Linked DNA regions of Mus musculus: all the other regions are reported to be linked to region 1. The links are microRNA targets in miRTarBase. Many come from high-throughput screens and were not tested one by one. Region 1 holds a microRNA gene; each other region holds the end of a gene's coding sequence.
What was found. Region 1 holds the annotated microRNA mmu-miR-511-3p (AAUGUGUAGCAAAAGACAGGAU, at 2,825-2,846, opposite strand). A microRNA usually pairs through its seed, bases 2 to 8, with sites in the 3' UTR of a target mRNA and lowers its output. Matches are read on the target gene's strand: a 7mer-m8 pairs with bases 2 to 8, a 7mer-A1 pairs with bases 2 to 7 and ends in A, and an 8mer does both.

Region 1 (5,408 bases):
CTAAGGCCTCTTTGTGCAGAGGCAATTTTTTTTTTTTTTTGCCTCTTTGTGCAGAGGCAAAAGTTCTAATTTGCATCATCCTAAGCTGAAGTGTTGTAAAACAAAATTTCATTCCTTAGTACAATTTCAATTCTTAATACTTTCATGAGTTGCCAAAAAAAATTGGAAGGAAGGAAGGAAGGAAGGGAGGGAGGGAGGGAGGGAGGGAGGGGGGGAGAGAAAAGAGAAGAGGGAAGGGGAGGAGTGGAGAGGAAAAGAGTAGAAAGGAGAAGAGGAGAGAGGAGGAGAGGTGAGAGGAGGGGAGGGAAAAGGAGAGGTGGGGAGAAGAGGAAAGAAGAGAGGAAGGGAGTTGGGATGAGATGGGAAGAGGGGGTGGAGGGAGGAGGAGAGGATGGGAGGAGAGGGGAAGAGAGGGAAGGGGAGAAGAGGAAAGAAGAGAGTGGAGGGGAGGTAAGGGAAGGGAAGGAGAGAAACAGAAAGGTTAGCATAGTCTAGATCCCTTCTGTGGGATGTTTAATTTTTCTTTCTAGGAAACTGATGAGCCTGAGAAGCATTTAAAAACACATCTTCTGTGGCTCTAGCCCTGTGGCAGAATGCTTGTCATCTGCTGTGGCTCTAGCCCTGTGGCAGAATGTTTGTCTATCATGCACGAGGTCCTATGATCAATGCCCAGCAGAGGAAAACACAAAGTATGAAAACAGAAAATAACCAACACAAATGAAACAAAGGGAGAGGCTTGGGACACAAAAGCACAAAAGATTCTTTGTTTTTGAAGGGGACCATCACTGTCCACAGTGTAGCTAGCAATGTAAGCCACAGGCATCATTTTAGATTTGCTACTAGCTGTAGTAGATAGAAAAAAAGTACATTCGGTATATCCAAACTATTATCATTTTGATACGTGATCAACTAAAACAAGATTTTCCATTTATTCCCATGCTAAAGTTTTGGAAATCCAACATGTATTTTACATGGGCAGCAAATCTCAGTTCACACTAGACATGTTTCATTCAACCAAAGACCTATGGTTAGTAGCCACAAAGATGCATATTATGGCTCTGGAGCTGGGGGAACTACGGACACACAGGGACTATGGCAAGGACTGAAGGGTACAAGACTGGATGCTTGCCAAGAGGGGCCACCAACCGGGAATGCAGCAACTTTTTAACAGGTGCAGGGGCTCCAAGAAGGGGAGCTGGAACTTATTCTGCAGACTAGCCCAGCCTTGAACTCAGAGATTCGCATGTCTCTGCCTCCTACATGCTAGGATTAAAGGTGTGTGCCATCGCACTGGAAAAAATGCTACAAATTTAAATCTCTACTTAGAGGGGTTTGTCTGCACAGCAGAATAATCTTGTCAGGATAACAATGCAAAGGCCAATGCTAGTGTAGCTGCACAAGTGAATCAGGGGCAATAGTGGATTTAACAATACAAGCTTGATGATATAACGAGATTTTAAAGAAGAAGAGTTACTAACATTCATATTTTACAAACAAGGAACTTAAAACTGGTGGATTAAGCAATAAGGCCAAATTATAGAATTGTGCCTTTCATTCCAGAGAAACTTAAAAATAACTTTTCTCTAGTTCCCCAAAGTGGTAACTGCTGCAGGTCTCTGAAAGAGAACTATATGAATTCTTTCAAGAAAGACTTAGCCATTCCTTTTGCAATAGTAATAGAAGAGACAAGTTGCAAGAACAATTGAGGTCTCCACAAGTTCATGCACAATCACTCTAGAAAATCTGTAAAGTAGAACTGAGACCATGAACCAGGGGCCTCCACCCATAGCCATAAGAATTCATAAACCAGGGCTCTCTATCATGTCCATCAGAGATTATGAACCAGGGATCTAATTTACATCCATCATGGATAATGTACCAAAGTCCCCATACACATCTACCAGTGATCACTAAATAAAGTCTTTCCCTCCAGATATTTACTTCCTAGTCTTAATTCCAGTTTTGTTGGGTATACAGAGACTATATATCCTATGAATTTCTCTTTCCTTTCCTATAACATGTAATAGGAGAAATAATACCTACTTTACAAGACTGGAGATATAAAATTCTTTTTTTTTATTATTAGATATCTTCTTTATTTACATTTCAAATGCTATCCCGAAAGTTCCCTATACCCTCCCCCTGCCCTGCTCCCCTACCCACCCACTCCCACTTCTTGGCCCTGGCGTTCCCCTGTACTGGGGCATATAGAGTTTGCAAGACCTAGGGGCCTCTCTTTCCACTGATGGCCGACTAGGCCATCTTCTGCTACATATGCAGCTAGAGACATGAGCTCCGGGGGGGTACTGGTTAGTTCATATTGTTGTTCCACCTATAGGGTTGCAGACCCCTTCAGCTCCTTGGGTACTTTCTTTAGCTCCTACACTGGGGGCCCTATGTTCCATCCTATATGTTCAGGAAACATTACCAGACAGTAGGACCAAAGAAATGGACTTTTGAAGACATATCATGTTATTAATCTGTAAATAATTAATAATCTCTCTAGAATCATGTCATTCAGTTTTGATTGAGTACACATTAGATCATAGAGATCCTCTTACCTGAGGGAATGATAAATGGGTTCAAGGTATTGTTTCCCTTTTTACAAATGTAGCCAAGCTTCTGAACACATTCCAGATTTTCCCACTTGGCATTTTTTCCAGGGTTTAGTGACACACAGCTCTTTCCAGGCTCTGATGATGGACTTCCTTTAAGCAAATTACAAAGTTAAATTGGGAATACCACAGTCTCCTAAGTGGATGGCTTCCATCCTCTGCCAACCACCACACCTTACGTCGTCATCCTTGGGATTTAATGGATCCCCATCCTGTCTTTTGCTACACATTCACAAATTATTATTTACTGAGTGCAGAGCAAAAGGCATGGTGGGTATCTATTTGGTTACTTGTTGCTGGCTTATTCCAAGGCTTAAAATGTTGAGTTCACAGCAGAGTGGTTTGAAATAACCACCTAGAACAATGGATAGCATTAGACCTTAAACTTTAAACAACTGTGATGATATATGATATCATGTATCTATATATGGTATCATATATAGAATGGCTGAATAAAAATAATGTACACTGTCCCAAGATGGCTATATTAATGTCAATAGTAACGCTCAAAACTACTTGAAGCTAACTGAAGAGAAGAAAATGCAAGGGATAAACACAGTGAAACAGATCTGGAAACCAATGTCCTACACTCCCAGAACTAAGATTCTTAGCACATTTTGTTGGATTCATTGAAGAAAAACCTTTGGAGCTATCTCCTCATTCATTTCTTACAGGAAGCTGGTTAAAAATACCTGACTGGGTTGACACCTTTGGATATATGACCCTATCACTACAGTCTATCAATACATCCTCCTACTACAGTGGATACATACATCTATCACTATATCCTCCAATGTATGATTTGTCTACTGCAATGCATACATGCATCCATCTACATCCTCTAATGTATCATTTGTCTACTATAATGGATACATGAATCCATCCCTATATCCTCTGATGTGTCATTTATTTACTGCTATAGATACATGTGTCCATCCCTACATTCTCAGATGAGTCATTTGTCTACTACAAGGGTAACCAATCCCTACAGTCTCTGATTTATCATTTCAACCCCAGTTTCCCAGAAAGTAACTTCATCTCATACCTAAGTCTGACAAATTAGCTACACACACAGCTAATTTGTGACCTTTGGTGGATGTTCATTATGCACCAAAATTTCACTTTCCTCAGAAAAAGGAAATCATGTCACCAGCCCTTGGAAGTCTTTAACACAAACATTTTCCAGGTTGTATAAATACTACACAAAGTAAAAACCCCCAAAATACATATAAAGATGTTTTTTTTTAATCTTCTGATAATATGGCCAAGATTCTGTATCATTGTGGAAAAAAACTTTCAAGAAACAATATCACATTTAATACATACTGGTCTTAAATACTGTGCTCTTTGGTAAATCATATTATATATTCATTTATCAATACAACACCTCTACCGACCTTGAGATAGCAGTTGGAGGTCTTTACTAATCTGGTGACTATTATATAGTTGAATTTATATTTCTTCATCATTCACATAAAGTATTCTTGATTGCACTCCATATGTGTTTTAGAACATGAATCACTTAGTAAACGTTTAATGAAACAATCAACTAAGTAATTTATACAAAAATAGTTTAAATATTCTTATTTTAATTTCATAAAATTCTCACATTATTTAAGAAGGTTAGTGTTGAATCTATTTTCTGGAAACATGTAAGGCATTTTCCATTCCTATTACACCTTTTCTAAAGTTAATACCCAGGGTTTTTTTCAGTGAGATCTAAGACCACAAGGGGTTGTACCCAAGTGAATAATAGAGAAAATGAACTATTTTATGACGTGGAGTACTTTTAACTACTAAAGACAAGAATGGACTGTAGTCCCCTACCATATAATCACCACTGTCTGAAGCTTCTGAGTCCCGCTGCAATTCTCTAACCTCCCTTGAGCCCAAGAGCAGCAGACAATATCATCTTATGAAGAAAGGGCATCTATATTCATATGCACTTTCAGTTACTTCCCATATTTCAGAAGAAAATAAAACAGATTATCATTTCAAGACTCAAGTCATGGGGCTGGAGATAGCTCCGAAGTAGATTAACCGGTCATGATTTCTAGTACAAAACAATTCACATAACAGCCCTATGCTCATCAGGCAGTGAGCGAACATGTTGAGTGGAATTTCATGGTGAAATATAATCAGTACCAACATATATTTTTTTGCAACACTGTTCACTGGGCCCAAAATTTTGTGCATGCCAAATGAGTGCTCTTTCCCTGAGATTTCTGAAGCCTAATTAACTTAAATAAACACATAACCCTAAATGTTGAGTCTCTAAAATTCTCTCCCTTGTTTAAACACTTTTTAAAATACTATTTTATCTTTTTCATCTTAAAAGTAAAAGTCAAGGTATGAAACAGAAAACTTAACATATTTAAGCCAAATGCTTTTTTTTAAGGTATTTAATGGCTCAAAAAGGAAGGGGGGGAGGGAGGGAGGGAGGGAGGGAGGGAGGGAGGGAGGGAGGGAGGGAGGGAGGAAAAGAATTGTGAAAAAAAAGGCATGGCTTGCATATTTGTGGTTGGTCCCAATACTCAGAAGGCAGAAGCATAAGGATCACTTGCTTGAGATAATCTGGCCAATGAAGGAAACTAGGTTGAGAGTGGGGTTATAGGGAGAAGAGGAGGAAGGGAAAGGGGAGGAGGGAAGGGGGAAACCTCAGCTTTTTAAATACAGTCTCAATAGTGTCTGCAGCAAAGCTGATAAAACATGACTAATACACACTTATTTCCTGCTCCATGGCAGGAATCACTAATCATTAACTGTACTCTTCTGCAATAAGCCAGGCTTGGT
Region 2 (5,408 bases), not on the chromosome of region 1:
AGACCTGGAAAGAAAGGAAGGAAGCAAGAGAAGAAGGAAGGAAAAGAAAGAAGTGTTCTTGCTCTGAAATCAAGAACAGTCCTTTTCACTGAGAAGTGAACGCCTTAATCTCACGAATTCTGTCTACGTGGACATGCACATGTGGAACGTGTAAGTGCCCTGCAGGAGCTCACTCTAGCAGGACCCTGCTACAGCCAGGCCTTTGCACAGGGCATCTGCGCCTGAGGAGCAGCGAGGGAGCAGGAATGACAGGTGTCCCTTGTCAAGCACTGTGCTGCCCTCTCCCGTCTCACTGCCCTCTCCTGTTTTGCGTGCTCTTGGAGGGGCCGTGCTGTGTAAGTTCTGCTCCCTGCTTGAGATGCAAAATCTGTGAAGGGCTTGCTCTTCACTGTGGTTCAGTGGCCCTCTGCTGTGCCTGTGTCTGTCCAGGCTCGTGCTGGGCAGTTTCTACATCAGCACTGAATCACCTTCCTCTCCCCGCTGTGAGTGGCCTGGAGATGTGTAAGAGGGTGAAGCAGAGTCAGACTGGAAGGAGTTCTCTTTGTATTTATTAGCCATTTTTGTTTTCTTTTTTGAGAAACCTCGTTAGTTCCTTACCCCCCCCCCTTTTTTTTCTTTTTTTCTGAGACAGGGTTTCTCTGTGTAGCCCTGGCTGTCCTGGAACTCACTCTGTTTGTAGACCAGGCTGGCCTCGAACTCAGAAATCCACCTGCCTCTGCCTCCTGAGTGCTGTGATTAAAGGCGTGCGCCACCACACCCGGCACCTTAGCCCAGTTTTTAAAAATGGGTTTTTTTTTTTAACTTTCTGGTTTTTGATTTTTTTATTCTGGATTTTACTTCTCTATTCAATGTGTAGCTTGCCAGGGGATTGGGCAAAGATTCTGTCGGCTTCCTCTTCACTTGATTTCCTTAGCTGGTTGCCTTAGTTTCTTATGCAGGAAGTCCTTTCTCTGTACCTGTATCTGCAGGAGCCAGCCTATGTTTCTTCCAGCAGTTTCAGGTTTCACATTTTCTACTTGGTATTAGTTTTTGTGTAAGAAGATGGAGCCAAGATGATAGGCACTAAGTCTGGGCAGGTGGGCCAAAGCCTGGTGGGTGGGTGGAGGCTGTATGTCAGGAATGACCAAGCTGGGCTGGTTCAGTGGATGTGGGACTGGGGTAGATCTGGGGATTGGGCATGATGCATGTAGTAGGGGGCCAGGCAGATCCCCCTGGCTGACCCTAGTACAAGATGTGCAGGACCAGGCTAGGCAGAAGTTGGATGTGGGCTAATCCTTTAAAAAGTTACGGTCTAAGCCAGATACCTTTATAATGGTAGCTACCTTTAATCTCACCACATGGGAGGCAGAGGCAGGTAAATTTCTGATGTGAGGGCAGCTTGGTCTACATAGTAAGTGTTGGGACAGCTAGGGCTATACCAAACACACACACACACACACACACACACACACACACACACTGTGTATATACACATGGTGCACATTTGCCATAGCATGCATGAAGAGGTCAGCAGAAAACCTGTGGGAGCGAGCTCTCTCCTTTCACTGTATAGTCCCAAGAGATCAAACTCAGATCCACAGGCGTGGCAGTGAGCACCTTTTACCCACTGAGCTCCCTCACCCGCCCTGTGATTGACTAATTTTAAGGATGCCTGGTGAAGAGAGGCAGAACTGAGTAAGTTGGAGAGCCCATGCATGCGTGATACATGAGCAGCACTGGAAGGTAGGTGGTGATTTCCCTAGTTAACTTTATGTGGCTGTTTCTTGAATTTAAAAGATTTCCGTGCTGGAAATCAGCGGGGCCAAAATGCAGGCTGCTTTCGGACCAGTCCAGCCCTCTGCAGTTGAAGTCATCAGTGACCCACACTCACATCATCATTGTAGATAATTCCAAGGACAAGTGCTGCTTACCTCTGTATCTAGAAAGCTGTAAGTCCCCTCCCCGTCCAGCACCGCAGAGATGGAGAAGAGGCAGCCAGAAGCAGTACCCTCTACTGTGTGGACAATTTTCTCAAAAGCGTTTGAATGGTAGCCTTCATTCTCTAGCTTACTGGAGAAGAAAGCTTGGCTCTGTCTAGAAATGTACCTGCAGTTGCCTCAGTCTTCCTCTCTCCAGCCCACTTTCCAGAAGATGTTGACGTTCAGCAAGGACGATTCCATCGTGACTTGTTTTTACAGTAAGCTTTTATTACTCATTAAAAAACATAGAAAGACATTTAGAAAGAAAATATCCTGAAAAGAACACATACAGAGCAATAATACAACCATAGAAGGCACTACCAGCAGTTAGACTCCTCTGAGACGTCAGGAACTCCATGCTTTCCAGAGGCTCAACCCTCAGTACAGGTCCTGGGTCTAACTGTGCTTTAAAGTCTGAATCTTACCATCATTTTCTGAATAAACGCCTTTCTGTATATATAGCTATATGCCTCTATGTGTATATACATATATATATAATACATGAATTTTTTTTTCTTGTCAAAAATAAAAAGCCATCCATGGGGGGACGTTCTCAGCAGCATTCACAGTGTTTGCAGCAGGAGCCATGCCTTCTCCTAACGCTACAGACATGCAGGATGAAGGGAATGACTTTCCACGTGCCCCTGTAGTACACAGCAGGACGGGGGCTTCTTAAGGGAGAGAGGTGTAAGGCTGGGCATGAGACCTCAGGCAGCCAAGGGGCTGATGGCGTGCACAACCTCAGAGTCGCTAGCTCATGTTGCTTTTTGCAGCTCTGCAAACGATGCACAGTTTGAATGACAAGGATTTGGCGTTCTTCTGGGACGGGAGCAGTGTGGCTTCAGCCTGGGCTGGTAGGGAACTTTTTAGGCTACACGGAGAAGCTTGGGCTTAAAACAACCCGAGGAAAGGGTATGGAAAGGCAAGCACAACATGAAAGTGGTCTCCTCTGGAGGCTCAATTGAAACACTGGCCCTCTTTTAAAGGGACAAGTTTTTCTCCATCTGTATTGAGTGTCTTTGCAGTCCTGGCTACTCTGGCTGATTGGTTTTAAGTCTGAACTACTCAAGAGTTGGAGTCATAATCTGATGCTGTCAATGCAGTCTAGTAACCTCGCATCTTCAAAGTCAAAGCCTGACCGGGAAGCTTGATGGGAAAGAGGCTGATCATCAATCACCCTGTGCTCTGAGGCTGTGTCCTTGGCTCTATAGCACCATTGTCCACTTCCTGCCAGGGGCAAGCCAGCAGAGAGCTTCAAGCAAAGTGCCCCACTCTTTTCTCTGCAAACAAAAAGGCACTGAAGTCACCAGGGAAGTCAGGCCCACGGGTCTGCTCAGTGCTGTGCTGCGAGCAGACCATGCTTCCCACCAGAAAGGACTCCAAGTTGGAGGACTTTACCACTGTAATCAAAGCTACTACTCAGGCAACAGCTGGAGACCCTAAAGCCAGAGGTGGAGGTGGAACTGAAGGCCAAGGAGATTCAGGCCCCCCACCCCCTGCAGGCGTAGGCCACAGACAGCTTGGATGTGCTTCTCTGTAATACTTTCTGGCAGCTCAGCAAGAAACTAAAATTGATAAGTGGCTGGTTTCTCTTTGGTAGAAACCCATAAGGAGGACAGCATTAAATTCAAATGTTAACATATCAAACATTGGACAGAGACATGCTGAAATACCACACAGATGTGCATATATGTCTTTGGGTTTGCATGCACACAGCCTGCTGGGTAATAAGAGACGGCCTGGTCAGGCTGTAGCCTCTTGAAATCTCAGGCTGACCCTGAGTGTCTAGTACTAGAGAAGAAGAGGCACCTTGGGGCAAGGACAGTCCTTTCATGAGCATTTTCCTGCTTTCAAGGACTTAGCTAGAATGAATATGCCACATTTGATCCTTAAATATACTATACGTGGCCAAAAAAAACCAACCAAACAAACCAAAAGAGGAACTGAAGAGTAAATCCAGAGAAAGAACACACAGGCTCTGAAACCTTTCTTTCCTTTTGCCGGCTGGTGATTGATTGGAGTTTGGTGACCAGAGAGGCAACTATTTGGTTTCTGAGAGGCCAGCAGACTGAGCAGGGAAACACTGGTCATTCCACAGGAGTTCTGATCCCAGGCGGAAGCTCTCCAGAGCCATGGTGTGGTGGGTTAGCAGGAATCGAACCCTGCATAGACACTGCGTGGAAGAGACTTTGTGCCACATCTGTTAACTGCTGGGCAGGCACTGGTGGAACCACCAGAGGTGTCTTAACAGTAACTCTTTGTTGCAAAATAATTAACAATAAAATAAATTGGAGGGCACTGAGAGGACAGGAAGTCGGCTGGTTACCCCGGCTTCCCTTGGGACTCTCGTAATGCCTCTTCCAGTTTCTGACGGAATTTGTTGTACTTCTTTTGCAGTTGATGGATCTTGTCCTGCTCCTCTTTTTCCAGGATAGTTAAAAAGTTCTGGAGTTCAGGAATGGAAAAGGCATCCCACTATGAGAGGAGGAGGAGAAAACAAGTGAAAATGGTTAGAAGTTGACATGTCTCAGGGCTCTGCTGTTGCTCCACAGTGAGCCAGCCAAGTACACTTTTCAGCTGAAGGGGCGGGTATCACGAATGACATTTGTGTACCGTACACAATGGTCACATCAGCCACAAATGGTCATGTCCCGGAATCTCCTGGAGTTCCCAGCCTATACACCTGTGCTTATAGAAGAGCAGCTGCAACTGAGGATACACCTGTGCTTATAGAAGAGCAGCAGCAGCTGAGGATACACCTATGCTTATAGAAGAGCAGCTGCAGCTGAGGATACACCTGTGCTTATAGAAGAGCAGCCGCAGCTGAGGATACACCTGTGCTTATAGAAGAGCAGCAGCAGCTGAGGATACACCTGTGCTTATAGAAGAGCAGCCGCAGCTGAGGATACACCTGTGCTTATAGAAGAGCAGCTGCAGCTGAGGATACACCTGTGCTTATAGAAGAGCAGCAGCAGCTGAGGATACACCTGTGCTTATAGAAGAGCAGCCGCAGCTGAGGATACACCTGTGCTTATAGAAGAGCAGCCGCAGCTGAGGATACACCTGTGCTTATAGAAGAGCAGCAGCAGCTGAGGATACACCTGTGCTTATAGAAGAGCAGCCGCAGCTGAGGATACACCTGTGCTTATAGAAGAGCAGCCGCAGCTGAGGATACACCTGTGCTTATAGAAGAGCAGCCGCAGCTGAGGATACACCTGTGCTTATAGAAGAGCAGCAGCAGCTGAGGATACACCTGTGCTTATAGAAGAGCAGCCGCAGCTGAGGATACACCTGTGTTTATAGAAGAGCAGCTGCAGCTGAGGTCTTCACTTTGGGGCTGGACGTGCTCCCCAGAGGCAGGTGGAGGACACCTCTCATGAGCTGTGTGACGTCAGGTTTCAAGCTCCACCCTGCTGCCCACCTTCTCATGAACCAGTATACCGAGCATAC
Region 3 (5,408 bases), not on the chromosome of region 1:
TTAAAGGCCTCTAACTCTGCTTCTTATGTCATTACCTCTGCTGTAGATAACATCTATGGAGAGCAACTTGAAGACCATAGAGGAGGAGAACAAGCTTATAGAACAGAGCAATGAGAGTCTGCTGAAGGAGCTGGCAGGGCTTAGCCAGGCTCTCATCTCCAGCCTTGCTGACATCCAACTTCCACAGATGGTAAGACCAAGAGCAAGGCTCTGCTACCCCATCATCTACCTCAATGTCTTTGTTCCATTACCCTGTGGCTGAACTATTGACAGTCACCTACCCCTGATTCATTTTCATGCTTAATGCTTTCGCAATCTAAGAACACGGTAGATATGCATATTCAGATAATTCAAGGCCAGTGGCATTCCAAAAGGCCAGGACTCTTTAAGGATGAAGGTTTACTTAAAGCTATCTTATAAAGTTATTTGAAAGCTGGATGCCAGAGCTCACTCACTGTAAATATGTTTTCAAACAGTTGATTCTATACATCCCTCAGCATCATCTACTCAACTCATGAACTATAACACTCCCAATAATCTCATTGTAATATTCAACTTCTTTTCATGGAACATAGAATGCATGTGTGTGACCAAGGCATCCGTATTCCTATTCCTATCCCTTATCTCTTATCCCTTACCCCTTATTCATAAGTATGCAACTATTTAGAATTCACAAAAAGTTTATTCTACATTTTCACAAATGTAAATCAGTCTTTGGAGTTGGAGATGCATTGCTGGGAGCTATATTGGTGATGCTGTTAATTTCCTCAGCTCAGTACAATCCCTGCCATTCCAACATAGGACTGTTAAAGAACCACTTGGCAAAAGCTTCATCCTCCTAGCATACTTTCCACAGACAGCTGGTTTTATACTGAAAAGTGCAAATGAGACCCAGACTCTTCCCAAGAAAAGACATATAGTTTGGACACCTCTAGCTCAGCATTTATTATGTGGTTCCAGATTGATCCCCAATACTATTCAATTGCATTCCATTAATGCCATGAGTTAAGAGTATACAGATAGTACACACACACACACACACACACACACACACACACACACACATTTTCTGTCCTATCCCAAACTGCCACAGTCCTATAAACCCTTCTTTTCCTACTTATATAAGTTGGCAACATTTGTCACTATCTCCTGATCTTCCTTGGGGCAGCTGAACCTCTGTGATTGGTTTCCTTGTGTCTCCATCAGGGGCCTATCAATGAGCAGAATTTTGAAGCATATGTAAATACTCTCACAGACATGTACAGCAATCTGGAACAGGACTATTCCCCAGAATGCAAAGCTCTACTGGAAAGCATCAAGCAGGCGGTGAAGGGCATCCATGTGTAGAACGACAGTATGCAGGAAACAGAGGTCACTACGGCCATGAACTCCCACAAATCTGCAGGGGCCTAATACCCCTGGAGCCCAGAGGCTGTCCCTGTGTTTATAATTGCAACATTGCACTAATTTTTCCCCAGCTGACATAAAAAGGAAAGAAAAACTATGATAAACTCTTTGGATTAAAAGCAATGCAGTCAATTATTAAACTCGTTTATTTTCATATCTTTTTCTTTTCTTTCTTCATTGCACTCTTTATTTTGTAAAGTATATGTAAAAATAAATGTGACATTTTATATTTTATTTATTACTAATCAAAGAGTTTTTTATCTTTTAACTGCATTTTGAAGTCTACTATATTTTTACAGGTGTGTTTATTAATTTATCTTCTAATAGGATTTAAATAGAAATGCTGTTCTCAAATCACATATCTTTCTGGATTTAAATGAGAAAAACAAAACAAAAGAAATGTATGAAGGAAATCCTGATGTCAGGACTACACTGTGGTCAAGCTTGGTTTCTACTGTGCACTTCCATTTCTCCTTTACTGGTTTTGTTTTTATAAATGGCTTTTGGTAATGTGAGCTGTGAAGGATTATGAAGATAAATGGCGCCCACTAGTGGGAAATCCACACTCACAAAAGCACAGGATGTTAGCAAACAGCGCACTCAGAACTTGATAGCAATAATTAAATAAAATAGTCAGCATAGTATTCCACATGGCTGCAGAGATTTAATTAATATGAATTATTTATTTAGACTGCTTAAAGCATACATTTTAAGTGAATCAGATTTGTCTTCTTGTTTTTCAAGTCATATTGGCTAGTTGGCAACCCTTTCCCAAAATGAGAAATAAGCTTTGATGGGACCAGCTTGGCTTTTCCTGCTACACGTTAGTACAATATACAAGTGACAATGTTGGTGTAGATTTGTACTTACAACTACAGACACATCCAAATGGAAATTGTGTAGATACCGTATCCCCTGAAATAGCATTTATCTTACTGGGTTGACTGGAATAGAATGCAAAACAGAAGGCCTGAAAAAAAAAATGCTATTCCAAGCTAAGTGGTTACCTTGAATATTGGCAGCATTGGTCTTTGCTTCCCTAATAAATAAGGCAGTTTCAATTTGATAAAACTCTTGAACTTCAAGTGACACAAAGGATGTTACACACACACACATACATGTACACACATGCACATACACACACATACAGACACATGCACACACACACACACACACACAACAGCACAGTCTACACACATATATGCACTCACACTCATCCACACGTGAAATTCAACCTGCAATCTCAACTGGATCAGAGTTTAGAAGTTGCTGTAGTAAAGGCAATGTCTATTTCAGGGACTGTAAAGTAGTTAAGCATTGTTTCAAAAGTTTTTTTATATTTATTTTTTTTAAGGAAAAGGTATAGACAACCAGCTAAACTGCCTTTTTGGTGTGCACACACATTTCATGTGCAGATGTGCCTCTATGTAAAAGTACACATGAACTTTAGTGTGGGCTTAATTTTCTGTGCTATAATAAAAGTGTTTATTTTTTATTAGCCTCATGAATATTTAGATTTAGTGTGATGGCATTCACAGGCTTGAATTCACTGTTACTACTGTTACATGCTCTGATACATGAGAAGTGGTATAGTCACTCCACTCTCGTGGAACCGTGGATATTGTTATGCATCACGTGGCGCTTATCTTTGGCTTGGGGTTCATTTGAACTCTTGAATCTTAGTTTAGTGAAAATGAGATGTCTGTTCTTAGGTAGGAAAGGTGTTTATTTAAAGCTCAATTTTAAAATAAGCAGCTACTGCGAGTAGTGTCTACTATAAATGGGACACAAAGTTTCCTATTAAAGTATGTCTTTGAACATTTTGCTACACAATACTTCAAAGAAGCACACAAATGGGCTCACTTATTACAAAGACAGAAGTTTACTTTGCTAAATATTTTAACAAGTTTGTTATATATTTTATTTAAAGAGATCTCCTGCAATCCTATGTATTTATTACTATAATTTACATGGCTTCAGTTAATTTATTTGTGTTCATATAGTTTTATGAAGTGTATCTGTATTTATTTGCCTCCTCGTACTTGTGTTTTATAACATGCACTGAATTATTTTCTTTTCAACTATGTTAATGATTGATACTGTAAATTGGGTATTTTGTAAACAAAAACAAAGGCAGTGATGTATGCGTTTTTATTTGAAGTAGTTTGTTTGTATACTGTTTCTCCAAATGATTAATATTTCTTACATCATTGCAACAAAATTGTGTTCAGTGCTGTGCATTTGGTGTATGGTAGGAAATAAAAATTGATAATGAATTTGGCCATGATATTTACTTTATCAAGACAGATGTCACCAACCCCATGACCCACAGCTCCTGATATGGTAGAAAACCTCTAACACAGAACAATTCCTTCTGAACACTTTTACCCTTGGTTGAGAGGATTCTTGGTTGGTTAACATCTTGATTGGTTAACACCTTGGTGTAGAACATATCTCCAAAATGGGGTTTGCCTTTGCCTTTGCTAGAACTAGAAAGAATTTTGCCCAGATCTAATGAATAGCACACAAGGAGTCCTTTCCTGATACCAAACTGCTGGAGGTCCTGAATATAGCTTACATTTATGCAAGGTAGGTTCAAAAAATGTGATAATTCTAGGCTACCTGCTTTTGTTTTCCTAAGTCATCAGTATTCTCTACTTTTGAGTTTCTAGCCAGACTTACACATCTCTTAAATATGATTGTTCCTCATAGGCAATGTAAAATTTACTCAAATTAACTAAAGAGAAGTCTGGATCAAAGCGGGAGCTGGGCTTAAATTAGGTTTGCTTTCAGGGAGCACCACGTACTTTCAGTCACTAAGCTTACACGAAATGCTCATATGTGTTCTGGGAAAGCGATGCGAGCTGCTCAGCCAGTATCTTAGTGTCTACTTAATTTAGTATGTTTTACATCCTACCTTGGTTTTTGCTGTCTATGAGAAAGTTGTATCTACAGTTCATGATACAAATTTGTCATAGAATTGTATCAATTCTACTGGGACTTAGCAAGATCTGCCCTTTCCCATCACATATTTCTAATCAGAACAAACTTCCTGAGGTCTTGAATTCAGTGAGGACATGAGGCAAATGACAGGTATTATGACATGTAAATATACAATTTCTCCTGTAGAAACAGCAAGAAGGTTTGCTATCCACCTTGTATTTCCTGGAAAAGTGTGAGTTCCAGATTGGTCGAGACACTGGTAAACGACATGGCAGGCAGAGGAACCGCAAGTATGGAGTGTGAAGGGAAAATACCCATGAATAACAAAGAAAGTACAAAAGGAATCCAGATGACTGGAGATAGAAAGCTCAGGAAAGTGGGTTGAAGATTCAGTGTAAAACTCCATACCTCGTGGTTCAAATTCTCAGTAGCAGCCTTTGCTTTGCAAAGAAAGACTGAATTTCAAGGTTAGGTGTAGTTTGATAGTGGAGTTGCTACAGCATATTTCTAAAGCCTCATCTTCCATGCCTGCCACCTTCCTTGAAGAGATTTAACAATCAGAGGGTGGAGTTGATTTGTTTAGCAATTCAAATATTTCTTGCAGTAAAGCAATACAACTATATTCAGTGTATTTCAATTGTAATAGGATGTGAAATTGATAAGAACTTTTTCTGTCATCATTTTCTGTCTATTACCATTCCATCAAAAAGTAAAATAAAATAAAATCTTGAGGTATTTAGAACTCCGGCATGCTTCATCTGGATCCAAAGTCCTGTATGAAAAGAGCAGGACAGATGAATTGAGAAATTGCCTTGTTCTAGCACATAAGGATTTCACTACTAATGTTTTGGATGTGTCTTTCCACACATTCCACCCACTTCATTGTGGCCTGCAAGTAGTGCCTTCTGTTTCCTTCAGCTATCCAGCAGGTGACATACAGTAAGCAGATTGAACTTGCTAATAACTGTCCACACTGTCATTCGCAGTCAGAGATGCTTTGTATACTGAGAAAACCCTTGGGCTTGAGGAGCCATGTTACCATATGCAATGAAAATGGT
Region 4 (5,408 bases), not on the chromosome of region 1:
TCAGATTGTTCATTAGGAAGTATCAGATGAGAGAACAGAGTTATAATAGGGTGGAAAGTGTCAGCAACCTGGATCTCTGTTACAGTTTGCATGTAGAATTCCGCGTATGGGCTCATGTGTTTGAAATCTTGCTCTCCAGCTAGTTGTGCTGTTTCAGGGAGGTTACGGAAATTCTTGCAGTTGGAGGTTGACTGTAGGAGGTGAATCTCTGGGACTAGGCTTATAGCCCATGCATACTTTCTATCCTCTTTCTGCTTCTTGATCTATAGAGATGTGAGTCAAGCTCCTGACTTAATGGAGCCTCTCATCACCTTGTCTACTTTGCCATAATGGACTATATTCATTCCTCAAACTGTGAGCCAAAATAAGTCCTTTTTTCCCTAATGTGTCTTTCCAGGCATTTGGTTCCAGAAATGGGAAATGTAATGAATATTGTTCAGATTGTACTGTTTACTAACAATCTAGGTTTCCTTTTGTTTGAGGTTTTTTCCTACTCCTTTTTGAGACAATGCCTTACTATAGTTGCATAGCCTGGAACTCACTATGTAGACTAGCCTGACCTTAAACTTGCACTGTTCCTCCCGCCTCTGGCCACTACTGTCTCCCTTTTAAAATGCTTTGAACAACCTTTTGAGATATTTTTACCTTGATTTAGTAGTGTTGAGAAATTGACTTGGCCAGGGGAAAGCGATTACTTAATATACGGTTAGCGTGGTAAAGGTAGAATTCGAGCAGAATTCAATAACTCTTTGAGAGCCTGTGTTCTTCACTGTGTTCTACACTGTCTTCAGCCTAACTTCAGAACTTCAAGCAGCAGTATGTAGAGGCGTTTTAAAAGTTTTTTACCACAAAAACAAAACAAACAAACAAAAACAATATGTGAAATAATACATATGCTAGTTAACTGTATTTAACCAGTCCCATAGTGTGTACAAATCATGAAACTAGAAGACGTGCAATATGATGTTCATTTGTCAAACTAATTAATTTAAAAGGTGAATAACACGTACTTCTTCAAGGCGACTGTCTTACTTTAATACATTTAATAATGTATTTCTGCTGTTTTTCTGATTACCTTCAATATCATCATGTTTTTCCTGCAGGAGAGAAGCCTTACAAGTGCACCTGGGATGGCTGTTCCTGGAAATTTGCTCGCTCGGATGAGCTTACTCGCCATTTCCGTAAGCACACGGGCATCAAGCCATTCCGGTGCACAGACTGCAACCGCAGTTTTTCTCGATCTGACCACTTGTCCCTCCACCGCCGGCGTCATGACACCATGTGAATATCACAGGCCACAGCAGGCACGCTGCAATGGCCTCCTGAGTGTGTGCTGAAGTTGTAACTACGTTTGCCTCTTTGACTACAACTTGCCCCCATGATTGGGGTCCGAACAGCCTACTGAGCCAGGTTAATGAGACTGGAAAACAAGTTAGCTGGTCTCCCATGCGGCTCTTCATATTCCACTTTCACCTCTTCACTGTCCAGACTTCAGTTTTTGCAACCTCTTCCTGGGTTGAATTCAGTGCGGCGCCCATGGCTGCCCTCCCTGATCCCTCATGCTACATTATAGACATTTTTCCTACAATAACAAACAAAACAGGAATCAAACTCAAGGCTGTGAACAAACATCCGCTGCTCTCCCCTCCCCCCTGGTTTCTCTTGTTTTCTAAAGATTTTATTCACATGTGTGTATATATATATACACATATATGTGTATGTATATATATATATATATATATACTGTAACCAGTACTTAATATCACTTAGCAATGTCCTAAAATGAGGGTTTTTTTTCAAAGTTGTAGCTACAAGGGGCATAACAGTAGAGTTGGTTGATCAAATTTACATAGAATTGAGTCTGAAATACAGAGTCTCATGCTAACCGTGAAGGTTTTGTAGATCCAGTTTTACTTGTTCTTAACAGTTTGGTTTACAGGCAGTGCCAGCCCTCCTTTTGAAGTTCATCAAGAGCAATGAAGGGATTCCTTGACCTCCTTTTCCTCCTCATGCTCCTTTAGAATAAAAGGTTTTATGGCACAATTCCATTCTTTTTAGGTTAAGTTTGGACAAATATTCAAAGCACAGAAAGATAGATCAGTAGGGAGAAGTATTCTAGGAAAATACGTGGGCAGTGACAGGCAAGAGCAGACCTGGGAGCACCCTGTGAACAATTACTTGGATAAGGTGTTAGAACTGCTGTTAATCCCAAGCCTCGTTCAGAGGGCAGCCTGTTGAAACATCACTTTCGATGGGCTCCACTGTACTGTTGATTCTTTTGTTTACATAAGGCAACCATTCAGCGTATTACCTGATGAGAAATTGCACACTGAGCACGTTATAGAGAGGTGAGGGGTTGCACTAAAGGAATTTTGTTTACTTCATGCCATTTTGGGCATTTGTTCTTCTCTTTCTAATGGGATGGAAGAGGTTTTCTTTCTGACACTGACATATAGAAAGCATTTTTTTGGATGTTTTACAACTTCTATTAATACCCAAGCCATTTATTTTATTTAGATATAACAACAAGATGCTTAATATACATTTGGTTGCCCAATCAGACTGTTCATAATATTCTCTGGGGCATAAAACCTTCTGTTCCTGGCCCTGGACCTCATATCTACCTCTTCGTGGCATATTTCCTCTCCTGGGGAAAAAGGAGAGGGGCTTTGTATTAGTAGGATTGGACACAGCCTCTCGCCTAAAGGTTTTCTTCATATGAAACCTTTATTTCTTGGCAGATATTCAAAATGTTCTGGCTTGAACAATTTAGGTTACTACCTCCTGTGGCTGTACTTTCTAACTAAAGCCTAGAATTCTACCATCCAGAAGGGGTCCTGTCTACTTCTACCCATCCCTCACGTTTTACAGATGAGGCAAATACGGGTCAGATTCTTTCTCCAGATAATTCCTTGAGGCCTTACAGACCTGTATACACCGTCTCCCAGGGATCACACTAGTAAACCAAATTAAAGAAAAAGAAGTTATGTGATTGGTTGCAATATTTGTCCAATTTTATGTTACACTTCAGAAAACTTTAAATTCATGTATATTTGGTGACAAAGTAAGTAGGGTGTGCTTATGGTCATGACCACTTAACACCAGGCACACAGTGTTTCAAGTCACATTTTTTGATAATTCTAGATTTGTTTTAATTTACCTTGTTTCAAGTTTCAATGTCTTTGCAGAGCATAAATTCTCCATAAGTTAAGGCCTACTTGTACTTTTCAACGTGGCATGTAGGTTTTACTGTTACTGCTTTGGTAAGGGATCTGTCCTGACTCTGGGTGTACAAGTTCCAGGCTGTATACTAATTACTAAGCACTAATCAATATCTAGGGCTAGTCTACTAATGGGGACCACAATGTAAAACAGATTGAAAAATGTATATTCCTACCATATATGGGCTTAAGCTTATAATTGAGTAGTTGGTACAATACTATAGAACAGAGTCCAAAGGGTTATGTACTTCTGTTCCACTTTGGATCCTAAATTTGTTTTCCAGAGATTGGAATTGGCATGTGCCCCTTAGACTTCAGGATATTGAGACATATGTTTATTAATGAGCACTATGAAATTATAGTACTCATAAGGGTGATCAGCTGAGGATCCCAGATACTGATGTTCCTAGCATCTCTGAGCCTTTATTCAAGTATGTTTCTGCAGAGTCTTAATAGACTTTGCAAATGCTTTGTCCATTGTCTTTAGCCAAGAACCAATTCTAACCATATTCTCTTTGCTCTTTTTGTTCCCAAATGGCAAAAATCTTTCCAGTTACAAGCATAGTCTTTACAAATGTGTCATGATTAAGAGAACTTCGCAGAGTAAATGAACTCAAACAGTACAGTGCAGAATTACTGCACCAAAAGCACATACGTTTGCTACATAGTGGGATATAAAGGAAACCATTCCACTTCTCTTGGTTAACATCTGAGGTTTAACTAAGTGTAATGGGCTTACAACAGCCAAAGACTGTTAGGATGACATTTGCCTAGGATATGGAAATTGTGTCTGGATGGATAATATTCAGGAGTTTATTGTAGTGAAGTTTCTCCCTCTGTAGACATCTGGCAGCTGAACATAATTGTTGGTAATTGCCATTGTAAAGTGTAAGAAATGTAAACTGGTTTGATGGATTAGTGGAGTTCATTATGTACAAACCCACGAATGTTTGTAAAGAGAATTTCTTTTTAAATAAACTTTACATGTTGGAACTCTTTTTTTGAGATTTTCAGGAAAATGTGAAGGTAGAACAGAGTTCCTGCTGACTCTACATTATATATTTGTTTGGTATACTTGTTACAATTAGTGAAATTATACCGATACATTAATATTAACTACAATCAATGCTTTCGTCAGACTACCTTGGCTTTTATCTGCTGTTCTTTTTTTCTGTTTTAATACCGCCTTCAAAATACAACATTGTATTAATAATAACAGCTCCTTATTCTCCTCGTTGTGATAGCTTCTTGGAGTTCTTTGTTCTCAAGGACCTTGGAGTATGTTTTTCAGTTGGGGTGTATTTTATATTCTTCTCATGAAAATTTTCTCATTAAAAAAAAAAAAAACGAGGTCAATGAAAGCTAGGCATGGTGGCAAACACTTTCCTTTTAATCCCAGCACTTGGGAGGCAAAGGCAAGTGGATCTCTGGTCTACAGAGTGAGTTCCAGGACAGCCAGGGCTACACAGAGGAAAACCCTGTCTCAGAAAACTAAACTAAACTAAACTAAACTAAACTAAACTAAACCCTACCTTAATGAACCCAATGGATTTGGGTCCAAACAACCACACAAGTGAGTTACTATTTTCATAACATCATCTTTCTATGACTTATCATTCTTCATATTATCCTTAGTCACATGACTAAGATAGTGTCTGAGATTTCTCCCCTATACCCTTTTTCCTATCATCATACTGCAGTCTTTGGAGGGAACTTACTGTGCTCAGCCCACATATACAGAAATGGTGAGTTAGGTACTATGTCCTTGAGAGCAAGTGTTCAAATATTTTGGAATTTTTCTGCATTGGGAGCTTTGCCTCCTCTCTTATTTATTTACTTATATGTTTATTTTTGTCAACATGGACTCATTGATATTTATTTTATAGATTATCTTATAATTCAATGCAACTTTTATTTTGTTGCTCAAATTGTAACTTTAACTGTTAGGAGCTTTTTTTTGAATTGATCATGAAGTCTTGTTTGCATACCCCCATTATTGTTTTTTGTTTTCAGTAAGTGAGTAATTTTTGGTGTTGCAAGATGTTCCAGACACATCTTGCTTTTGTTTTATGGAGGACAATTCTATAATCAGGCATTTTGTCAATAAGTTGTAATCCCTTTTACTGAAGAATTATAACCAAGGTGTAGGTACTATATATGTTTGCTACTTTGCAGATATTTCTTCAA
Region 5 (5,408 bases), not on the chromosome of region 1:
TGACATTCCCACTACCCAAAGGAGACCAGAGGATCAGCCGCACCAAGGCAGGAAGAAGGCTCCAGCCAGTCTCTGAGGGAGAAAGGGGCCCTGTCCTATCTCTCCAAAGCACAAAGAAAAGTGGAAGACAGTGATGGGGACAGATGGCCACAGGTGCTGGGATAAGACAGGGGACCCCAGCTGATGTGTGGGACAGGGAACCATGCTGGTAGGATGTGGGTGCCCTTCTGAGGTCTGGGTCTCTAGTGAGGTATGTATGGAGTTTAGCTGCCTCAATGGCGCTGCCCAGCTATGTTAAGTCAGGTTTGTACTGACTCTCCAGCCCCACCCTCTAGCATTAGTGAGCCACTTCCTCAGGCAAAGAAGGCAGGAGGTGAGGACTCTGCTCAGCATCACCTTCAAACAACTGCCTCTTTCCCCTCAAGGAAGGAAAGGGACAAATGAGAGGCCTCCCTAGTCCCTAAAGGGTTGGAGTTCTGTCTGGCTGTGGACCCACAGCAAAGGAGAGAGAGATTGCTGGGCCTACATTGCCTATGATGTATGGTGTCCAGCTAGAGGGTCCAGAGCCTCCTGGCAACACACCCTCATGGAATGTTCCAGAAAGGCCTAGAAGAGTTGAGAGAGTTTTATGCTGATGGCAAACACAAGGGGGCCTTTAGAGTTATCCTTCCAGCTCCTATGTCCTCCGTACAAAGGGAGCTACAGGTCTTAGTTCCTCTTTCTCTTCCCATGTTCCAGATCATCCAGACCCTTTAGGGAAAGCACAGAGCACACAGTATGAGCTCCTGGAACGGGGCTCTTTGAACAACTGACAGAAACCTTTCTATCTTACACCTTGGAGAGGCAGGTTAGGTAAGGTGATGAGACAGAATGAAAGGTGTGCACCTCCTCCAGGGGCTGTCACCATTTCTGTCACCTACTACTCCCTGGCTACCTGGCTACCTCAGAAGTGGACAGGAGCAGGGTCAGGCCCCTGAGCCGGTGTCATTATTTTTTCAGGGGTGTCCGGAGAGAGAAAACGCAACACAGACTTCTGCAGACATCAGCCATGACGTCCCTGAGCGTGCACACAGATTCTCCCAGCACCCAGGGAGAAATGGCTTTCAACCTGACCATCCTGTCCCTCACAGAGCTCCTCAGCCTGGGCGGGCTGCTGGGCAATGGAGTGGCCCTCTGGCTGCTCAACCAAAATGTCTACAGGAACCCCTTCTCCATCTATCTCTTGGATGTGGCCTGCGCCGACCTCATCTTCCTCTGCTGCCACATGGTGGCCATCATCCCTGAGCTGCTGCAGGACCAGCTGAACTTCCCTGAATTTGTACATATCAGCCTGACCATGCTGCGGTTCTTCTGCTACATTGTGGGCCTGAGCCTCCTGGCGGCCATCAGCACGGAGCAGTGCCTGGCCACTCTCTTCCCTGCCTGGTACCTGTGCCGCCGCCCACGCTACCTGACCACCTGTGTGTGTGCGCTCATCTGGGTGCTCTGCCTGCTACTGGACCTGCTGCTGAGCGGCGCCTGCACCCAGTTCTTTGGAGCACCCAGCTACCACCTGTGTGACATGCTGTGGCTGGTGGTGGCAGTTCTCCTGGCTGCCCTGTGCTGCACCATGTGTGTGACCAGCCTGCTCCTGCTGCTGCGGGTGGAGCGTGGTCCAGAGAGACACCAGCCTCGGGGCTTCCCCACCCTGGTCCTGCTGGCCGTCCTGCTCTTCCTCTTCTGCGGCCTGCCCTTTGGCATCTTCTGGCTGTCCAAGAACCTGTCCTGGCACATCCCCCTCTACTTCTATCATTTCAGCTTCTTCATGGCCAGTGTGCACAGTGCAGCCAAGCCTGCCATCTACTTTTTCTTGGGCAGCACACCTGGCCAGAGGTTTCGGGAACCCCTCCGGCTGGTGCTCCAGCGGGCACTTGGAGATGAGGCTGAGCTGGGAGCTGGGAGAGAGGCTTCCCAAGGGGGACTTGTGGACATGACTGTCTAAGCACAGTGGGTCACAACTGCAGCTTCAGCCCATGGGGGTCCAGGGGAGCTGCCTGATGTAGGTAAAGCTGGGATCAGAGCTCCATCAGTAAGACTCTTGAGGGACATCTTTGCTGATGACCCAGTGCTGTGTCCCCTGGGAGGATTCTGGGAAGGGGCAAGCAGAGAGTGATGCTTCTGTGGAGGGCCTGGGGTTGTGTGTGTTAGGCAGAGCTCCTGGACCACCTCATAACAGCTGCTTCCATGGACACCCTCCCTCCCCACATGGCTACAGTGAGGGGACAGAGCAGGCATGAGACAAGCTAGTCCTGGTGGGGGGCAACTGTTCTTCTACCACTAGCATCCTCCTAGCTAGAGTGTGCAGTGACTTTTCTCGGTGCCCAATGCTCCTTCCTTTAGTGAGGGATAAATGACACTGAAACTGGACATTCAGTTAGGTATGGGGAAATAAGTGGCTTGGAAGTTCTCAGCGGCTGAACTTGGAAGTCCTAAGTGGCAGAAGGCATCCTCCTGACCTCACATCACTGCCAGAAGGCAATGCTGGCACAGGCCTGTCATCCCAGCTACTTGAGAGACTGGGGCAGGATTGTAGCCCCAGACTGGGATTTATCTGTAACTCTAGTTCCAGGGGATCTGTCTCCGTCTTTTGGCTTCTGCAGACACTGCATGCATGTGGTACACATACATACATACATACATACATACATACATGCATGCATGCATGCATGCATACATACATACATACATGTGTGTGACTCCAAATACGCGCACGCGCACACGCGCGCGCGCGCACACACACACACACACACACACACACCACACACACACACACACACACACACACACACACCACACACACACACACACACACACACACACACACACACAGAGAGAGAGAGAGAGAGAGAGAGAGAGAGAGAGAATAGAATTCAAGGTCAGATTATGCTTTAGAGGACTCATCATCTCAGGAAACCAAGCCCAGAGGGAACTGTGTTGAGGAGAGAGACCACTGGAGGATATAAACCTCATCCAATGTTTCAGAAAAACTGGTGGCTCCTGAGTCTGAATTTCAAAGTGAGGTCCTCTGCATGGGCAGCAAGCCCCCTCCTGTCGCTGTCCATATCCAAAGCACCTCTACCTAGCAGGAGAGAGCCCAGGGCTTCAGCACCAGGACAGTTCCTACCTTATCCTCTTTTCGGGATAGGACCTACCCACCTAGCAGGGGTTCTCTGAGGAAGCAGCCTGGTTGCAGGCCACCACAGGTGCCTGAGCTCCTGCCTAGCCAGGAGCACAGAAATGAAGGGGACCACCCCCCAATCCAGTCACAGGTGGCCGAGAACCAGGGCTTGGGAGCCCACCAGTCCTGAAAGGACTTACCATCATCCATGTATCATAGTCCTAACTCAGCCCTTACCTTTCTACTTCCTCACTGAATAGTCAATTGATTACACATACGCACAGTGTTGTTGTGTCCAGCAAGTCCCAAGAGGATTTTATTACATCATCAACCCTCCAGATCCACATTCGTGACATGCTGGTCTCCTTTGACATCTGTGTGGGTGTAATACTGACTTGGACCAGGCCCACAGATGGAGGGACATTTGATCTCTGTCATGACTAAACTTGCTCCTAAGTCTGGACACGGACAGAAGAACCCTGCCTGGCATCCCGGAATTGGCAACTCACTGCCCCCACCCCACGCAGGTTGTGTTGGGATGCATCCTGTGGTATGGTGCCTTCATCTCAAATTCTCTGGCAAGTCTATCTACATGCAGGGACCCCAGGAAGCTAGGAGCTTGGGAGTGCTGGTCTTCCTCTTCCAAAGGAGTTCTTTGTATCCCCCACAAAGGCCTTCCCTCCTCCACACTGGAGCTTAGGAGCCGATGTGGCTATCTGTCTGCCTCCAGGACAGGATTCCCAACTTCAGTTCCTCAGCTTGGGGAACTGAGAGCACGAAGGGAAGTAGCCTGTCCACAAGTCCAATTTTGGCCTCTGGACACCCACTTCTTCATGGGGGAAAGCCCATGCCAGCCTTACAGGTGTCTCCCCAACTGGGCACTAGCCCAGAGTCTTTGAGGCTCAGAGAAGCCCGTGTCTGCTCGAGACAACCCGGGACATGGCACAGACCTTCTACTCCTCTCCTAGCTAGCTTCAGCTGTTGACAGGGCATAGTCCAGAGTTATCTGAGGGAGTCTCAGCTAGGGAACTGTTTGGGTCAGGTTGGCCTGTGTGCACTGTCCTGACTGCTAATACATGTGGGAGAGCTCACTCCACTGTGAGCAGAACCACCCGTAGGCAAATGGACCTGAGCTATATAAAAAGCTAGCTAAGCATCAGCCCAGGGGCAAGTCAGTAGGTGGCTTTCCTCCTTGCTTCCTGCCTTTACTCCTGCTTGAGTTTCTGCCCTGACTGCCCTCAGTGATGGACGGTGACCTGGAAGTGTAAGCCAAATAAAGCTTTTCCTCCTCAAGCTGTTTTTTGTCATGGCGTTTATCACAGCAACAGAAAGCAAACTAGTGCATATACCATTCATCTGCCTTGTTGGGCCAAGACTGTCTGGAGTACCATAGCCTACCCTGGGTGTCCATGTCTCTCACCTACTCAAGCCCCTTAGCCACCCTGAGGTACAGTTAGATCATGGACCCTCAGAATATACCTTATTTCCCAAATGGGTTTGGGATACTTCAAACTTCTTCTCCACTGGACTCCATGCATAGAAAACTCTTCCCAAAGATCTCCAAGATATGCATCCTTCTCTGAAATTGCCATGGAAACAGCCCACTCCACCATCTCTATCACTTCTATGGTGTGTGTGTGTGTGTGTGTGTGTGTGTGTTGTCCCAATAACCTGGACTTGTTGGTTGTTCTCTAGGCTCAGGTCTGCCTGCTCAGTCTTCTTCCTGTTGTCCAAGAGACCATCCTGTCTTTGCAGCCAGCCCCCATTCTAACCACATCTCTCCTTCTGCCCTCAGAGCAACAAAAGTCCCACAAAGGACCCCCAGCCATCTCAAACACCACTTCCACCTAGTGTGACCTCAAAGCCAGGTTCTGCAACTAACCCTTCCTGGCAAAGCCAGGCCTTGAGAAGCCCAGGGGCTAGGAGAACTAGCAGGGCTAGCATCCATCATGGCCCACCCACCTCAGAATCTGGGAACACAGGGGCTGCTCTGGAGTACAGATTTCTCAGGAAACAGGACATTGTTTTTGTGGTGTCATCACTGGGTCAGCCAGACATTCTTAGGAACCACTGTAAGCCTGGTCCCTCCCACGGCCCACAGGGACACAAAGGAGCCCAGCCTATGTTGATAAGAACATAGAGTGAGCAGAGAGACATAGCCTGAAATAATACCCGACTGCCTACCCCACCCTGTGGCAGGCTAATAAAAAACAATGTTTCTACCAAGACCTGCAAGGGCCTTGCTAGCTCA
Region 6 (5,408 bases), not on the chromosome of region 1:
AAGCTTCTTGGTTAATGTAGTGGAAGATAATAGACAGGGGTAGCCACGTAATTTTTATTAAATCGAAGAGATCAGCTCTGCTGAGGACTTTCATGGTGACAGCAAGCCCTGAGAGTAATAATGGGACCTGACATGTTACAAGCCCATAACGGGGCCCTGATTTAAATATTCTCTCACTTCTGATGCATATTTACCTGAAATTGAGTGTGGGTTTTCCTTTTTCCATGCAAAATAAATGTAAATGCTGTAACCTGTGAGCTTCGGCTATTTTTCATTGTGGTGACATAAACCCCCTCTATCCTCGTGTAGATTCAAAAGCAAACATGCCTTTCTCCAGACAGAGGTCTCCTTGTCAGAAGGCAGTCATCAAGAAAAGACTGAGTGGAAAGCCCTGGATTGTTGTGTGATTTGTTCGATTAACATGCATAAAATTGTTGCCACTTCCTCCAAATAGCTCATTTATTCTAATTCTATAGAAGGTGGGAAAGATCAAAAGGAAAAGACAGATAAATAAAATTTGACCCTGCCAGCCATCGTCCTTAGAAAGAAGTTGAAAAAATATGTACCAGAGAGGACAGCCACAAAAGAAGGCAACAAATAAAATCGATTTACATACACATCCCAGGGCTGGCTGGGGTGGGGTGGGGGCAGGGAGGATTAATTAGTTAATGTTTGGCAAGCTGTGCCCTGAAGATGAGCTATGCAGAGGTGCTATCATCACTTATTACTGTTATTAATTAACAGTGTGATTGCCAAACACCAGAACACCCCCCACACACACACCCAGTGTGTGGTTCGTTTCTTAATGCCATGTGCGATCTCTATTCCAGGAGTGATTCGGGAAAGTTACCTCAAAAGCAACGACCAGCTTGTTCCTGTCACCCTCCTGGCCATTGCAGTCATTCTGGCTTTTGTCATGGGGGCCGTCTTCTCGGGCATCATCGTGTATTGTGTGTGCGATCACCGGCGCAAAGACGTGGCAGTAGTGCAGCGCAAGGAGAAAGAGCTCACTCACTCGCGTCGGGGATCTATGAGCAGTGTCACCAAGCTCAGTGGCCTCTTTGGGGACACCCAGTCCAAGGACCCAAAGCCTGAGGCCATCCTCACACCACTCATGCACAACGGCAAGCTGGCCACGCCTAGCAACACCGCCAAGATGCTCATCAAGGCTGACCAGCATCACCTAGACCTCACCGCCCTGCCCACCCCAGAGTCCACCCCGACACTGCAGCAGAAACGGAAACCCAACCGCGGCAGTCGCGAGTGGGAGAGGAACCAGAACATCATCAATGCCTGCACCAAGGACATGCCTCCCATGGGTTCCCCTGTGATTCCCACGGACCTGCCCCTCCGGGCCTCCCCAAGCCACATCCCCAGCGTGGTGGTCCTGCCCATCACGCAGCAGGGCTACCAGCACGAGTACGTAGATCAGCCCAAAATGAGCGAGGTGGTGGCTCAGATGGCACTGGAGGACCAGGCTGCCACCCTGGAGTATAAGACCATCAAAGAGCACCTGAGTAGCAAGAGTCCCAACCATGGGGTGAACCTTGTGGAGAACCTGGACAGCCTGCCCCCTAAAGTTCCACAGCGCGAGGCCTCCCTAGGTCCCCCGGGAACCTCACTGTCACAGACCGGCCTGAGCAAGAGGCTGGAGATGCAACACTCCTCCTCCTATGGGCTCGAATATAAGAGGAGCTACCCCACGAACTCGCTCACAAGAAGCCACCAGACCACCACTCTCAAAAGAAACAATACTAACTCCTCCAATTCCTCCCACCTCTCCAGGAACCAGAGCTTTGGCCGGGGAGACAACCCACCCCCCGCCCCGCAGCGGGTGGACTCTATCCAGGTGCACAGCTCCCAGCCCTCTGGCCAGGCCGTGACTGTTTCGAGGCAGCCCAGCCTCAATGCCTACAACTCACTGACGAGGTCGGGGCTGAAGCGCACCCCCTCGCTAAAGCCAGATGTACCCCCCAAACCTTCCTTTGCTCCCCTTTCCACATCCATGAAGCCCAATGATGCATGTACATAATCCCAGGGGTTGGGGGGCCAGGAGTTGAAGCATCCGATGAGGCGAGGCACCCACCCAGCTGAGCAAGGTCTCCATTGCCTCGAGTATCCACCCGACCAAGATGGCCCTGGAGGAGCTGAGGACGCTGGGTCCTCCTCCCTGGGACATAGGGATACTCTTCAAAATTGGGCCGTGTGGTCTGGTGAAGGTTTAGCAATCCACCTCTGCGTTCTCTTCCTTCACATCCACGTCATACAGCAGGTCGGACTCACGAAAGACTTCAGTATCATCACAAACATGAGCCAAAAGCACATCTCCACCCCATCCTCACATGAACACAGGCCACAGTCACATTCGTGCACTACATACACATACACACACACACACACACACACACACACCATACCACACCACACCACACCACACCACACCACACCACACCACATCACACCACACCACACACGCAATGGTAAACGACAACCACATTTTGTCCCTGACTATACAGGACGTTACCAAACTTGGCTAAGCATCAGAAACTTTAAAACACACACACACACACAACCATTTTTTTTTTAAAAAAAATCATGAAAATTAAAAAAAAATAATAAAGGATTCATTGATAATTCTAACTCAGACTTTAACAATGGCAGAAGTTTACTATGCGCAGATACTGTGAAATGCCCACCAGTGTTACAGCTTTGTTATAGCAGGTAAATGCCATGTTGGGCAACGATGTCATAGATTTCTGCTCCTCTTCGCTTTTAATGAATAACGTGACCGTTAACGCAAGTAACTCTTATTTATTGTCCACCCCTTTTCTTTTTCCTCAAGGAAAAGACTCTTCCAAATGCCACCACATGAACAGCTCTGCGGAAGCCCGTGGAAAGTTAAACTATTTAACGTGAAATCCATTAACTGGAATAATTGAGTTTCTTTATTTTTACAATAAATTCACTGAGTAAATAATTTGGAGCTGGAATTCTGAGCTTTGTGTTTGGACTATCGGATCAGTAGCTAAAGGACAGTGCTAGGAAGGAATATTTATTTAAATCTAGTTAATTTGTCAGTTGGGTTTCTCGCCAAGAGGAAAAAAAAATGTTTAAAAATCCTTCCAGAGTCTAACTTCCAGCCAGGACAGAAATGTTTAGAATGGTGCCTAAGCCCCATTGCCGTAAACATGGCTTTGTCTGAGGACCCCACCATCAGGAAGGCATTAGCTTGTGAAACCTGCCCCTACCCCCTACCCCCGATCCCCGACCCCCACCATCTCATTTCACCTTGCATGTGAGACAGCAAAACAAAGATCCACAAACTGTGTGAACTAATTAATATGCTGGCTGCTACCTTGCATAAATTAATGATTTGATCACACGGGTGTTTCATGAGGTTACATCTGTGAATAGCCTGTTTTCCACATGTAAATTTGTGCCTTACACTCTGAGTTGTATACACTTGTAAACTGTCGTTATGATCAACTTTCTTTTCCTACTTGAAATAAAGGCAGATATTTATTTAAACCCTGCCCTCCATTCAGCCCTCTGGAAGACTGGAGACAAGCAAATGGAACAGACACGGTAGCGATGGTTGTAATGCTGAAGGCTGGGTGATACCCTTCAGTTCTCCCTGCCTTCCCTTGTGCCAACGCCAGCCACCCTTTGGCCATGCTGCAGAGCATGGACCTCCAGTGTTGTGGGTGGAAAAAACCCCTTTCCCTTATATTCCCAGATCATTTCAATTTGGTGACATCTTCCTGAGCCAGCCGAGAAAGGACTGTGTTCACTGACTGGAGAATCTTGCTGCGGTGGTTAGGGAGGCAACTGGGAGGCGTCTCCGAGCTGTGCCTTCAGCACACCCAGGCGATACACAGAGAATCAACCAGAAAATAGACCAGGCAGGCTGGTCCCTGCTGTGATTAATGGGTACCCCAAAGTACAAACTAACGACAATGGATGCTGAAAAATCCATTTCTGGGGCAAAAGTATTTTTTTGTTTATTTGTTTCTGTTTTTTTTTTTTTAATTCTTTTATCTGTTTGTTGTTTGTAGAGGGTTGGGAGGGGTAGTGTGTGGTTTTGTTTTTTGCTTTTTTTGTTTTTCCCCTCCCTTGGTTTTCATTTGCTAAAGCACACAGAAGGCACCTTTGTTTACTCTATCATGAACAAAAGAATTGTCTGCACACTGTAATCCGTGAGCACTGTTTCCATATAAACAGTTTATTTGGTGGTCTCTTGGTCTCTTTTCTTTTTCCAGTTTGATCTAGGTTTTGTTTTGTCTTTAAAATAAAACAACAATAATAATAATAATAAAACTTTCAGAAAAAAAAAGATTGGCAAGAACAAATTCGAATTGGTTATTTAAAATTTCTATGTTGCACCCGCCGTCCGAGCAGTCCTGCAGAGCCCACGGTGTACAGCCGAGAACAGGTGTATAGCCCTTTGTTCCAAGACTTGCCTCGGACCAGCTAGACTGTTGTTTGAGATACATAAGATATCACTGGTTTTGTTTTGCTCTTTAGAGGAGTCATTGTTCATGGTCTGTAACCATTGCACCCTGAAGCCAGAAAGGCTTTTCTAGAAACAGATGGTGTCTTCTCTATTTCCTTTTCTTCACAAATACAAAAATGAAAAGGAAGGTGCCTGTCAGCCACCCCATACCCTCTCCTCCCTTTTGACTCCCAAGAGTATTACCCCAACCTCATGCCCATGTTAATGGGCATCATTGCCTCAGTTGTGTTACGGAGACCCATGTCAAAACCCACATTCCTACACCCCACACCCCGCTCCTTTCGGTGTCCCACATGTATTGAGCTGGTCTTCTGCTTTTCCCTGTCCCTCTCCCTTTCTGCCCTGACCTTGCATTCGGGGGTAGGGAGGAGATTGCCCATGAACCTGAGCGTGCCTTCGCTTTCCACCCTGGCTAGACAGTGTCGATGCAACAAACGCAGACTTACATTGGTTGTAAAGTTGTAAAAATATTGTGATGTCACCAATTTTCCTTCCGTCTCCACACATCCTAACATCTGATTCACAGTTTAATGTATGTAGTTTAAAAGAAAAGGAGAGAGAGGATGAAAAAGAAAGGGGGAAGAGCGGAAAAATCAAGGGATATGGCTCTATTACTTAAGAGTAATAAAATCAGACTGTTCTACGTTATCTTTTGTGTCCTGAATGCTTTTGTTTATGTCTTTAGTTTTCATTCTTTAGCCACTCTCCTGCCCACCCCCTCTCAGGATAGGATTCTCTTCCTTCTCTCTTTCTCTCTCTCTCTCTCTCTCTCTCTCTCTCTCTCTCTCTCTCTCTCTCTCTCTCTCTCTCTCTCTCGTTTCCTCATAAATAACCATATAGTTAGACGTATTTGTTTGCAGCCTCCTCGCCCTGCCCCCTCCACCCAACTTATTGA

Region 2: the mRNA of Rassf5 is a reported target of mmu-miR-511-3p. Seed matches in the 3' UTR shown: 8mer at 2,432-2,439.
Region 3: the mRNA of St18 is a reported target of mmu-miR-511-3p. Seed matches in the 3' UTR shown: 7mer-A1 at 2,518-2,524, 7mer-A1 at 2,548-2,554, 7mer-A1 at 2,601-2,607 and 7mer-m8 at 2,842-2,848.
Region 4: the mRNA of Klf8 is a reported target of mmu-miR-511-3p. Seed matches in the 3' UTR shown: 8mer at 1,704-1,711.
Region 5: the mRNA of Mrgpre is a reported target of mmu-miR-511-3p. Seed matches in the 3' UTR shown: 8mer at 2,657-2,664 and 8mer at 3,427-3,434.
Region 6: the mRNA of Sema6a is a reported target of mmu-miR-511-3p. Seed matches in the 3' UTR shown: 8mer at 2,378-2,385.

What each region holds. Positions count from the first base shown.
Region 1 is chr2:14,258,489-14,263,896 of GRCm38, reverse strand. Mir511 (microRNA 511) reads right to left here and starts at 2,894; the gene lies at 2,816-2,894. It overlaps Mrc1 (mannose receptor, C type 1), which reads right to left. Exons shown (of 30, transcript NM_008625.2): 6 at 2,562-2,708.
Region 2 is chr1:131,174,245-131,179,652 of GRCm38, forward strand. Rassf5 (Ras association (RalGDS/AF-6) domain family member 5) reads right to left here. Exons shown (of 6, transcript NM_018750.4): 6 at 2,166-4,433. The coding sequence ends at 4,281. It also overlaps a transcript of Eif2d not described here. Among named protein-coding and RNA genes, the nearest start is that of Eif2d, 24 kb to the left of the region's middle.
Region 3 is chr1:6,857,254-6,862,661 of GRCm38, forward strand. It overlaps St18 (suppression of tumorigenicity 18), which reads left to right. Exons shown (of 22, transcript NM_173868.2): 21 at 47-190; 22 at 1,207-3,687. The coding sequence ends at 1,347. Among named protein-coding and RNA genes, the nearest start is that of St18, 130 kb to the left of the region's middle.
Region 4 is chrX:153,391,584-153,396,991 of GRCm38, forward strand. Klf8 (Kruppel-like factor 8) reads left to right here. Exons shown (of 8, transcript NM_001357183.1): 8 at 1,104-5,408. The coding sequence ends at 1,285. Among named protein-coding and RNA genes, the nearest start is that of Klf8, 35 kb to the left of the region's middle.
Region 5 is chr7:143,777,405-143,782,812 of GRCm38, reverse strand. It overlaps Mrgpre (MAS-related GPR, member E), which reads left to right. Exons shown (of 2, transcript NM_175534.3): 2 at 1,000-4,450. The coding sequence starts at 1,049. The coding sequence ends at 1,981. Among named protein-coding and RNA genes, the nearest start is that of Mrgpre, 4.4 kb to the left of the region's middle.
Region 6 is chr18:47,245,007-47,250,414 of GRCm38, reverse strand. Sema6a (sema domain, transmembrane domain (TM), and cytoplasmic domain, (semaphorin) 6A) reads left to right here. Exons shown (of 19, transcript NM_018744.2): 19 at 831-5,161. The coding sequence ends at 2,032. Among named protein-coding and RNA genes, the nearest start is that of Sema6a, 120 kb to the left of the region's middle.